Neurospora crassa OR74A: one gene and its partners. The protein of the gene in region 3 interacts with the protein of the main gene of each other region in a pairwise test. Links are inferred from orthologs where the notes say so. Each region holds a gene or a part of one and is shown on either strand. Other genes may lie near its edges.

The links.
Region 1: the proteins of prd-6 (region 3) and NCU05267 interact in a two-hybrid assay, tested with the Saccharomyces cerevisiae proteins (8 studies listed by BioGRID, with this or other methods). The link is inferred for Neurospora crassa OR74A from reciprocal best matches to the Saccharomyces cerevisiae genes NAM7 and NMD2.
Region 2: the proteins of prd-6 (region 3) and NCU07839 interact in a two-hybrid assay, tested with the Saccharomyces cerevisiae proteins (2 studies listed by BioGRID). The link is inferred for Neurospora crassa OR74A from reciprocal best matches to the Saccharomyces cerevisiae genes NAM7 and DBP2.

What each region holds. Positions count from the first base shown.
Region 1 is NC_026504.1:5,535,168-5,538,915, forward strand, and holds the start of NCU05267 (nonsense-mediated mRNA decay factor), read right to left. Parts: upstream 2,341-3,748; 5' UTR 1,984-2,340; coding exon 1,965-1,983; intron 1,873-1,964; coding exon 1,828-1,872; intron 1,753-1,827; coding exon 1-1,752. UniProt on the Saccharomyces cerevisiae protein: Involved in nonsense-mediated decay of mRNAs containing premature stop codons. It interacts, via its C-terminus, with NAM7/UPF1.
Region 2 is NC_026503.1:1,035,920-1,039,667, reverse strand, and holds the start of NCU07839 (ATP-dependent RNA helicase dbp-2), read right to left. Parts: upstream 2,200-3,748; 5' UTR 1,496-2,199; coding exon 1,380-1,495; intron 1,242-1,379; coding exon 22-1,241; intron 1-21. Other genes in the region: NCU07838 (hypothetical protein), read right to left, coding at 2,529-2,580, 2,917-3,092. UniProt on the Saccharomyces cerevisiae protein: ATP-dependent RNA helicase involved nonsense-mediated mRNA decay and ribosome biogenesis through rRNA processing. Associates directly with chromatin, correlating with transcriptional activity.
Region 3 is NC_026505.1:5,330,415-5,334,162, forward strand, and holds the start of prd-6 (ATP-dependent helicase NAM7), read right to left. Parts: upstream 2,407-3,748; 5' UTR 1,887-2,406; intron 1,681-1,886; 5' UTR 1,652-1,680; coding exon 1-1,651. Other genes in the region: NCU04243 (U3 small nucleolar ribonucleoprotein IMP4), read left to right, coding at 2,828-2,833, 2,902-3,360, 3,424-3,748. UniProt on the Saccharomyces cerevisiae protein: RNA-dependent helicase required for nonsense-mediated decay (NMD) of aberrant mRNAs containing premature stop codons and modulates the expression level of normal mRNAs. Also capable of unwinding double-stranded DNA and translocating on single-stranded DNA.

The DNA of each region.
Region 1 (3,748 bases), on a different chromosome or scaffold from region 3:
TGCAAATGATCTCAATGTTCATCCGCGAAAAGTCATCCAAACTGACCTTGAGACAGTGGAAGACAACGTGCTCCGGAACAATGCCAAATTTGGTCAGCTCAGCCAGGTAGCGAATGTTGCTCAGCCTGACCTGCCCAAGAAACTCCTTTTCCTTGCGCCGCTGAAGACTACGGAACTCATTGTCGAGGTAGTCAACGAGGCCCTTGGGGATATCGGGCATGTATTGACCAAGCGTGGCAACGAGCCTAGCCCAGTTCGGGAGGAGATCGGTACGTCCCTTGGGCACATCGGTCAAGGCCTTGATGAGCCGGTTGCGAGACGCCTTCGAATTGAGGAAGCAGAAGTCGATAGCCATCTGGTCAATGGCGTCTTTGCTGATGAGCTCAGGAAGGCGCACAAGCAGGGCGTCAACCTGAGCGCCAATTGTCTTGTTCGCAATAGCAATAGACTGGTCATCGGCGGCAGCAGCCTCGGCCGCCTTGGCAGCTTCCGCGGCTTCAACAGGGTCAATCTTCCTGCCCACCTGTTCGTCATCTGCTTTCTTCTTCTTAACTTCTTCAAGCAGAATGCCAGGGACCTTGCCCTTCAGATCAACCAAGTTTTCGTAGAAGCGACGCTCTTCCTCGTCCTCCCAGATTCCGGGCCCCTCACCCTGTCCACGGAGGTACTCACCAGCCTTGACCAGGCCGATTGTGCCGTTCGCGGCGTTGCCCTCATCAGTATCCTTCAACTCGGGCATCTCCGCGCCAATGATATCGGCAATAACCTGCGCATTGGCCACGAGACGTTCTTGGGCCTTGACCTGCTTCTCAAAGTTTGACTGGCGATCCTCAAAGACCTCTCCCGACTTGACATAGGCCTCCGCATTCTTGCGCGATTGGTTGTAGATAGCCTTTTGGTCCCGAACAAGGTGGCCCTTGACGTCCTCAAAGTAGCGCTTGAGGATATTCTTGAAGCGCTCCTGCAACTCAGGAGGGGCAAAGGGACCGTCCTGATCCGCGCCGGCACCTTCCTCCTTGTCTTCGGATCCGTCGCCTTCGGTCTCCTCGGCGCCCTTGGTAGCGCCATCCTCCTCCACGGTTTTACGACCATCTTGGCCCGCAGCCTTGATGCCCAAGATATCCCAACTGAAAGCCTTGACAAAGATGACGAGCAAGGGGAGGTTGGCGTGGTCTCGATCGTGATTCAAGAGATCCTTCAGAACTTCGAGTGGAAAGGGCTCGGCACCGCCTCCCTTGCCGGAAGAAGACCGCGGCTTCGGCTCGGCTCTGGCTCCCGTGGTCGGTCTCGTAGCGTCGTCGGGGCGAGCAATATCGTCCAGGGTCCGCAGAACATCAACAAGCCAGAGCTCGGTCACGACGCGGAGGAGAACGCGCTGTCGAACCAAGCGGTCTTTTTCTTCCTTCTCTCTCGCCTCGGGGGTAAGGGTCTTGAGGAAACTCTTATCAGGAGTGGCCATGCCCTTGCCCAGAAGCCAGCCCAAGTGTTCGGTAAAGTCGGCGGGTCCGAATCGCTGGTGCAGGGCGCTGACGATCTCGACGCCGGCCTCGATGTCTCCGGGAGACTTGAGCTTGCAGAGGCCCTCGTAGCATGCTGAGATGATTTCGGAAAGGTATTTGGAGAGGCTGACGGTGCGGATCTCCTGGAGGAAGGTGCTCTGGGTGGCGGCGGAGATGGTGGTTCGGAGACGCTTGATAAAAGCAGTGTTTTTCTTTAGGGTAGAGTCGAGGGACTTGCTGACGGGAAAGAGATCTGTTGGAAGTGAAGAGCGTGAGCAATGGGCCGACTGGTTATCGGGGGGGCGCAATAGAAGCTCGTAAATCGTACCTTTCTCGCCGTTCCAAGCCCTCGAGTTCAGCGCCCGCAGCTCACCTACGAATTGTTAGCCCAACAAAAGCCAAAGAGCCAAGTTACAGCCCCAAGTGAACAGAAAAGCGGGAAGAGAGGAAGGACTGCAAACTCACGCCGTCTTTGGCGATCCATACTGGGCGATGAGAATCAATGGTATGAACACAGAGCAGTGGCATGCACTGGTGGATATGCTAAGGGTTGAGAAATCGGTAGCGGCAATCCCCATCAGCAATGGTAGACATCGGTGACGTGATACGGCAGGGGAGCAACGGAGCAGGCCACTGAAGGCTCTCGGACCTGGACGAGCTCAACGACGGATGACCGAGAGGCGGCGGCGGTGGTGGTGGTGGTGGTGGTGGTGGTGGTGGTGGTGGTATTGGTGCTTGTTTCGGCGGCCAGAGTTGCGGCTTTTCTTCCGTCAAGGTGTCTGGTCTGTAGTATCATTCGAAGCAACCCGGGGGCGGCGTCACGGACGGTGGAAGGGAGAACGCGGTTCGGTTGTCGATCAAAAGTGATGAATGGATGGCCGGACGAGGTGCCTGTCCGTGGGCCAAGCGGGTTCTTCAGCACGCTTGAGTTCGTTGAGTTCCTTGGTTCCAGGTTCCATTGTCAGTGGGGGGGGGGGTTCCATGGGGCATCAGGTCCCCTAGGGCAGTCCATGCTAACTTGACCACCCTACAGGCCGATATCTGAGTCAATTCACCAGTGATGATTCCCGCGGCATCAGGGGGACGCCCTCGCCATTCATTGGGCGCCTTAACGCGCTTTAGCGCCTGCGCCCCGCGACCACAGCGGGTGCCTTAACAGCAGCACCCCACAGTGCAGGCTACCTACCTACCCCCAATTCCCCGACTGGAGCCGCCATTACACTACAGCAATTCAATGACATAGAGGTGGCCAGGGCAGACAGCCACGGGAATTGGAACCAAGGATGGAAGATCTACACCTCTACCAGTACCTCTAGGCTTTGCCTGGTAGGGCAGCGCAAGACAGGGCTGGGCAGCTTGTTTGTTTGTTTGTCTTGTTTACCCAACGGTTGATCTTATCATTGACCCCTTTTCTGATCTGATTTGATCGAGAGTTCGTTGGCTTCCCTTGAGCTCCAGTCGCTTCCATCTGTGCCCCTGAGTACAGTGAGTGGATGGACATACAAAAACCACATCTTCACACAAACAGACCACTGCTATAGCCTTGACCAAGACGTGAAAACTGTTTGAATTGCAACGCCAAACTACCTCATTTCGCTGGGTATCTAGAGATTCTCTTTTGTTTCTTTTGTTATTTCCTTGTCTGCCACCAACTCTCTTCTTCACATCTCATCCCACCACCCAGGACGTTTACCAAAACGTAATCTTTCATCCACCAAATGACTTTAAAGCTTCGCACCTACTCCTTCTCTTACTCTGTTCCATATAAGCCCTCCTGCGGACTCTCGCTCTGTCAACCCGCATGACAATCATAGAACAACTAGGAGCGGAAGCAATTTTGATCGTGCCATGTCAGTCAGGACAGACGGATCCAAGGGATAAGACTTCCGCTTCAAAAGCCAAAACGCTAGGTGGTATTTGATATACGATAGACATAAAAACGGAAAGGACGTAAGACAGATAGATACGAACCAAGAAACGCAAGGATATAGTAATACTAAAACGGAAACAACAACAACAAAAAAAGGTCGGAACAAACTTTCGTGCGTGCAAAAACTCAAAGTGGTATCTTTGTAGAGGTATCTTTCCCGTGTGCGCGGCCGTCATCCTGTCACATAACCATCGTCCCACATGATGGCCATTTTGGTCTTCCCTCATCTGACGTGAAATAAAGAGGCAAAGAGATTACTGTTTGCAAAACCCGTGTTCCCCATCAATTTGCGGAGGCCCGGTTTCCCGTAAAGGCGAGA
Region 2 (3,748 bases), on a different chromosome or scaffold from region 3:
AGGGGTAAGATGGATACATACCGATACCACGAGAAGCCACGTCGGTGGCAACCATGATAGGGCTCTTGCCAGTCTTGAACTGGTCCAAAACCCAGTCACGCTCGTTCTGTTGCTTGTCGCCGTGGATGGAAAGAGCGGGCCAGCCGTCCTGGCGGAGGAAGCGGGTGATGTCGTCGGCGACACGCTTGGTGCCGGTGAAGATGAGGATCTTGTTCTGGTTCTCGCGGCCCTCCATAATCTTCTCAAGATGCTTGATCATGCGATCACGCTTCTCGGACTCGGAAACAACCTCGACGATCTGGGTGATACGGTGGTTGGCAGCCAAATCCATGGAACCGATGTTGACCTGGATGAAGTCGGTCAAGAAGTCGGCGGCCAAGTTGCGGACCTCCTTGGGCCAGGTAGCAGACCACATGAGAGTCTGACGATCAGGGCGAATCTGGCCGATGATCTTGCGAATTTGGGGCTCGAAACCCATGTCCAACATGCGATCAGCCTCATCGAGGACAAGGTAGGTGACACGACGGAGGTTGGTCTTGCCAGACTCGAGCATATCGATCAAACGGCCGGGGGTGGCGATACAGACCTCGACTCCCCTGGAAAGATCGCGAATCTGGGGACCCTTGGGGACACCACCGTAGACGCAGGTGTTGCGAATGCGGGACGACTTGCCGAACTTGGAGATTTCTTGCTGAATCTGGACAGCCAACTCACGGGTAGGGGCGAGGATGAGGACGATAGGGCCATCGCCGGGAGCGAGGAGAGGCTGAGCGTTGATGTGAACGATGGCGGGAAGGCAGTAGGTGAGCGTCTTTCCGGAACCGGTCTCGGCAATACCGACGACATCGCGACCAGAAAGGGCCATGGGCCAGCCCTGCGACTGAATGGCAGTAGGAGCAGGGAAACCCTGAGCCTTGACCTCGTCCATAACGTAGCGAGGGAAACCAGCCTCGTCGAAGGTCTCGACAGGCTTGGGAACGTTGTTACCGAAGACGGCAATGGAGTGGTCTGCGCGGAACTTGTCGACCTCAGCAGGAGATCGGTTGGCGACGCTAGGATGCTCTTGGTAGAAGGACTTCTCGAACTTGGGAAGAGCGCTCATGTCCCAGTTCTGCTTCTGCAGACCAGCACCGAGAGCAGACATCCTATCACCGCCGCCACCACCACCGTAGCCGCCGCCTCCGTAGCCACCACCACCGCCGCCATATCCTCCGCCGCCGCCTCCGTAGCCATTCGAGCCACTGTTGAACCAGATGTTAGCAATTTGATCTTGAAATGCAAAGAGAGAGAGAGAGAGAGAGAGAGAGAGAGAGAGAGAGAGAGAGAGAGAGAGAGAGAGAGAGAGAGGAAATGAGCAGGTTCGCGCTAAAACATCATACCCGTGTGAGGAGTAGTTGTTAGAGTAGCCGCCGCCATTGCGATCGTACCCGTTAGAATATCCACCACCACCGCCACCGCGGCCACCGTAGCCGCCGCCGCCGTAAGATCCGGACATGTTTGCTGGTTGTTTAAGAAAAGGTTGAAAATTGAAGATCGGTTGTTATTGGGGTTGCTGAAGGGTAGACCGAAACGACGAGCAAACAAGGCCTAGAGGCGCAAGGGTATCGATTGTCGGGAAAAGAAGACGTCGGAAAAGACAGACGTCTAGAGACAAGAACCAAACGACACGCGTGAAGTGGTTACAAGTAAGCAGTCCGACTGGTTAAAGAAGGATCGCGGATGAAGAATCTTGCAGAATCGCAAGAAGTAGGCGGGAAGGGATATTGGAGATGGAGGGTGGGTGGAAGGAAGGAAGAAAAGGGCTGCTGCGAAGGGTGAAGTGCAAGTTTTTCTGGACGGAAGTCGAAACGAAAAAAACTCTGGGGGCACTGGACAAGGACCCGTCACGTAAGGTTAGTATGGGAAAAGAACCTGACCAAAGGGAGATGTCGATGGAGGATTGGTGGGTTCCGCTGTGCAGTGCTAGTGGATGTGAGATGCGGATCCTGTGCCAGACCCGACTCGCCTCCAAGCGGGAAGAAAAAGTCTTTCTTTTTGTTGGAGGCGGAAGGCGCAACGCGTCCCTTGCGTGCAAGTGCCCCAGAAAAATATTTTTTTTTTCTTCCCTTCCCTTCAGTTCACTGCAGTCGTTACAGCGAAGGCGGATTTGAGGGGACCGGGCATTGCCGTACCTGTCCCCCAGACTTCCATGTAGGGGCGGTCTGGCACCAGAGAAAAAAAAAACTGGACCCGACTGGCAACACTTGGCGGGCCTGCATTCTTTCACTGTTGACAAGCACAGATAAGCACAGATAAAGCGCCGATAAGGCATGTGTGGCCTTATCAATCAGGCAGAAGTCCACCTTTGCGGGAATTGGCGTCACCTGGTTCACCGACTCCGCTTTGCCAGAAGGGTTCTCGTTCTTGCTTCACTGGCGGATTATGCTTGGCAGTCTTTGCTGCGCGTCGCGGTTGTTGGGCAATCATCCGTCGTCGCTCACCTCAGCTGTCAGGGAACGGAAAAGAGAATCTGTAATCTTGACCACATTCTATAGGAGTTGCCTGTTCACATACATGTCCATGCTCGATGCTAGCATGTTTCTACACGTGTATACAGCCGTACTTAGGCCTCATATTGCCATCCATCTCCCACCTCATCTGAAGACTTTGGGAGCAGCAACTTCCAGTCCGTTCCGCAGCCGACCAGGATGTACACTACTGCGTACACAAAGAGTGGCAATAAATCCATCACCACCGCCTGGTCTAGTCCACCACCATCAGCCACATTCTCTCAACACAAACCACCACTTCCATGTCCTGAAACATTTTTCGATCACTACACTACTCACGACCTTCAAGCCCCTTCCCTGACTTGCCCTCTTGGTTTCTTTCGGACAACAGCAATCTCTCCGTCCCCTCCAAACTCCCAAAACTTACTCATCTTCTCCTCTCCGCCCCAACTCCTCCACCTCCTGATCCAAACGCTCCAGCACCAGCAGACTAAACGCTTTCTCTTTGCTCCTGCAATTCTTCAGGTCCTTTTCGAACTGCTCCATGCCCAAGTGAATGGTACGGTGTTGCTGGATTAAATCATGGTTCGCTGCTTCTTCCATGTCCTCCTTTGGCCCCCCCTGATACTCTTCTTCCGTTTCGCTTACGATGCTGATGCTGCTGCTGATAATGATGACGACGTTGACGATTATGGGCCTTGATGGCAGCTCTCAATTGAGGCATTTGCTTTGCTATAAGGAAACCATGCAAGTCTTTGATGGATTGGTGAGCTTTTAGGTAGCGAGTGACGGAGCCCGCATTCTATGGGTTGTCGCTCAGTCAGTGCTGCTGTGCCTTGACTACCGTTGTCACAGGTACAAGCTGTGTCGAGCGTATTCCACACCGAGCGACAGTGATTGTACTTCAATCTGATATCGAGGAATAGAGTGCAGGAAAGGATGAGCACAGACAAAGTAGTCCATTCGCTCGTCTAGTCGGTTGTACACTGTATAGTCTCCTGGTGAGAGCGGTGGTGGCGCCCGATCGGTTGCATTGCCGGCATTGGAAACTGCATCCGGAGTGACAACATTGCCGAGTCTCAGTCCGGCTCCGGCTCCAGTCTCTTGGGCTTGCACATCGCTGTCAGACGTGCTCGATATCATGTTCAAGTTGAGGTTTGTGCATTTGATAAAGGCAGCGAAAAGTCACTATTAATACTGGAGCGTGAAGAGCACCTTAAGTCTGTTGGTTACCAAATCTTTACAGCCATTTATTCACG
Region 3 (3,748 bases):
GAACTTGCTCGTGGAGAGCCAGGAAACTGACGGAGGACTCGACATCCTCACGGGACTTGGCGGTCAAGCGAACGACCTTCAGGCCGGTTCTGTGGATCCTCTCACAGAGCTGGTCCACAGCAACGTTGGATGGGGCGCAAACAAGAACTTGGCTGTTGCTCATCTTGGCAAGATGGTAGATGATGGTGGCCGAAGTGACGGTCTTGCCAGTTCCCGGAGGACCCTGGATAAGGCTCAGAGGGTTGGACAAGACCTGCTTGATGGCGGCAATTTGGCTGGCATTGAGCTCAGGGAGACCGGGAACGTGGAACTTCTTGGGCATCGTAATCTTTGTCGGGGCAACCTGGACTTCGTGTCCCAGCAGCTTGTGGAAGATGTAACCAGAAACACTCATCTCGTCGACGGCAAAGGTCTTCATGGCCAGCTGCATGCGGTCATAGGAAGTCGCTTTCCACACATAGTCGGCCGAGAAATTGTGTGTGCATTCCGTGGGGACAGACTTGTCATTGGCTGACTTGCGAAGTTCCACCTCAACCTCGTCGGACTGGTTGTTGGGAATCTTGATAACATATCCAACACCCTCCCAAGGCGGGCGCAGCTCTCCCTTGTACTTGAGACGCATCTCATCGCCAACGGCCAGCTTAACGTCACCGGACTCGATCTTGGGAAGGATGAAGCTGGCGACGTGTTTACTATTGAGACCCAGATGCCAGCGGACTTGAAGGCCATCCTCAGACTGGGCCTCCTTCAGCTTTTTGTCGTAGTCGGATTCCATCTTGACGAGAGGGCCGAAGATGTTCTGATAATGATAAGGGTCGTCGTACTTGAGCAAGACCGGGTGAGGATCATCATCGACTCCGGCAGTCTTTTCGAGGTCGGCAACAGTCGCGTTCGGTGCCTCCTTCCACATTTCCTCGAGCTTGGCAATCATGGGCGGCGTGAGATGGCGAGCACGAAGCTGCTCAGCATCCGTGGGAGGGGTGACGAGCCAGTTGAGGAAAGCCCTGTCTTCGATCAAGGGTTGCCACCTGGATATATCCCAGCTCATATCCTTGGTCGACGTACTAGCACCACACGGCTGGCGGCAGAGGAGGACCACAACCGTGTCTGACTTGGCAGGGATGAAACCGAGGATGAAGACATTCTTGGTGCCGCAGTTGTAACATTCGAGGACGGTATCGCCGAGGGAGGACTCGGGGTGAAGTTGAACTTCCTTGTGACGGGCGCGAACAAGGTGGTTGACGATATGGGACGAGAAGGCGCTTCCTTTGGCGCTGCAGAACCACTTGTTACAGGTAAGGCACTTGACGACGCTAGAGGGCGAGTGGATGCCACAGTAGGCACAGGCGTGGGGAGGCAGTTCCTTCTCCTCCACGGGGGCATCCAGCTTGAGGCTCTTCATGCCGTCGACTGGAACGCTGGCCAAACTCTCGTCATCATCGTCATCAAGGACCTCGGTCTCGTTGTCGTCGTCATCGTGGCGGCGTCTACCATTGCCGCGGGGACCACGTCCACCGTAGACACCGTAGAGGAGGTTCTCATCGGGATCGATATTGGACAGTTCGTCGGAGCCACCGGCCTTGATGGCAGCAGCAGAGTCGGAAACCAAGTGGTTTCCAAGGTGTGTGAAGGACACCTCCATGTTGGCCATGATGGCGAGTGGGTTGACGGAGGTAAACTCTGGAGCACCAGCAGCTGGTCAGTAAGTGTCTGGGAGGGAAATTCGCAACAGTAACGTAGGGTCAGGCAGGTATCGTTGGGGAACGAGATAAGTAAGGTACTGTTGGTATACGCCGCGGTCCAGCCTGTAGCTGTTGAGCGGGCTGTTGGGGAGGGATGTGTATTTCAGTGTTTACATGAACATGACACGCAAACAAGCGGCGTACCTTGAAGAGTTCACACCCGGAAGTTTTGTCGAAAGGTAAAAGGTGTGGCTGTCGTATTGCGGGTTGTCGCAATGCGGGACTATGGAAAGATGTAGATTATGGGCTTGGACGTCGTCTAAAAGGTCACATCATCGCATAACGGATTGGATCGGCGAGCGGGCTGTGTTGCGCGCGGGGGCTTTCGAAACGACGACACTGCCAGAACGTCGAGGTGCTGATGCAGAGTGAGACCACTGATCGGCTCGCTTAAGGTTGTTCTTGGTGTTGTGAAGCAAATGGTTTGGTTGCCGCCGTTCAAGGTCACGGTTGTTGTTTGCTTGGGGGAATTTTGCCGGTGGCCGACTTCCGTTCAGTTTGTGTTGGCGGACGGGTCACGGTTGCGGTTCAGGTTGGAGGTTCGTCGTTCCCTTGTTTGATATCCGACGGCCTTCTATCAGCAGCCTCCAGTTCTGGGCTCAGCTGTTTGAGAAGCACGGGCAGTCATAGCGCCTGAAACTGCCCTGTATTCTAGAAAGCGGGCAGCAAGTAGGTAGGTAGGTACTGGGAAACCGGCACAAGCTGCAGCGAAGGGAGCCAGGGTACCTAAGGTGGCGTTGAACCGGGCGACCCAGGCGCGATCTCTTTCCCGGCAGGCGCAAATCGACGGGACCTAAGCCAATAGGTATCCGCCAAGCTGAAAAGATCCGTGCACCTCGCGCTTAGTCCCATTCGATTGTAACTTTTTTCGACTTTTTTCTCTGTGAACACCCCTGTCGTCACCAACCACTCCGCCCTCCACTAGTATCGACCCGGAACATCTGAATTTCTGCCAGTCTTCGCAGCCTTAATTCTTATCGACAACCTCATTACTACCACTTTCGACAACACGACTCTGAGAGCTCGGCGCGATCCCTTCCACCGAATCACTTATTACCGTCTGATAAGCGTGTCAACACAACAAGATGATTGTAAGTGTCCCTGTCTACTCGTCATCTTCTCCAAGTTTCTCAATGTCCATGACTAACATCTGCAATAGAGAAAGCAAGCTCGCCAAAGGCGGGACTACCTTTACCGAAGAGCCCTCCTGCTCAAGGAGGCCGAGGTTGCAGAGAAGCGCGCCAAGCTGAGGTCTGCCCTGGCCTCGGGCAAGCCACTCGACCCCGAGATTGCGAAGGACAAGGAATTGCGAAAGGACTTCGACTACGATGTTTCGAGGGATGTGAACGGAGACGCCATCGATATCGACGACGAATACTCGGAGTTGTCGGGTGTCATTGACCCCAGAATCTTGGTTACGACAAGTCGCGATCCCTCCAGCAGACTCGGCCAGTTCAGCAAGGAAATCCGTCTCCTACTACCCACCAGTGTTCGGCTGAACCGTGGTAACCTCGTTTTGGAAGACCTTGTTGGCGCCGCCAAGGCGCAAAACTTGACGGATGTTGTTTTGCTACACGAGCACCGTGGTGTCCCTACCGCCATGACCATTTCCCATTTCGTACGTTGTCCCTCCAGGCATGTTGTTGTACTTGCAAAACGCATTTTCTAATCCTTGCTATAGCCCCATGGCCCGACGCTCATGGTCTCCCTCCACAACGTCGTTCTCCGCGCCGATATTCCCAAGTCGATAAAGGGCACAGTCAGCGAAAGCTACCCCAGGCTAATTTTCGAGGGCTTCAGCACCAAACTCGGTGAGCGAGTGGTCAAGATCCTCAAGCACCTCTTCCCTCCCCGCGAGCCGACACAGAAACCCAACGTCGGCAACAGAGTCATAACATTTGTCAACAACGACGATACGATTGAGGTCAGGCACCACGTCTATGTCCGCACCTCGTACGACTCGGTCGAGCTCAGTGAGGTTGGACCCCGGTTTACGATGAAGCCCT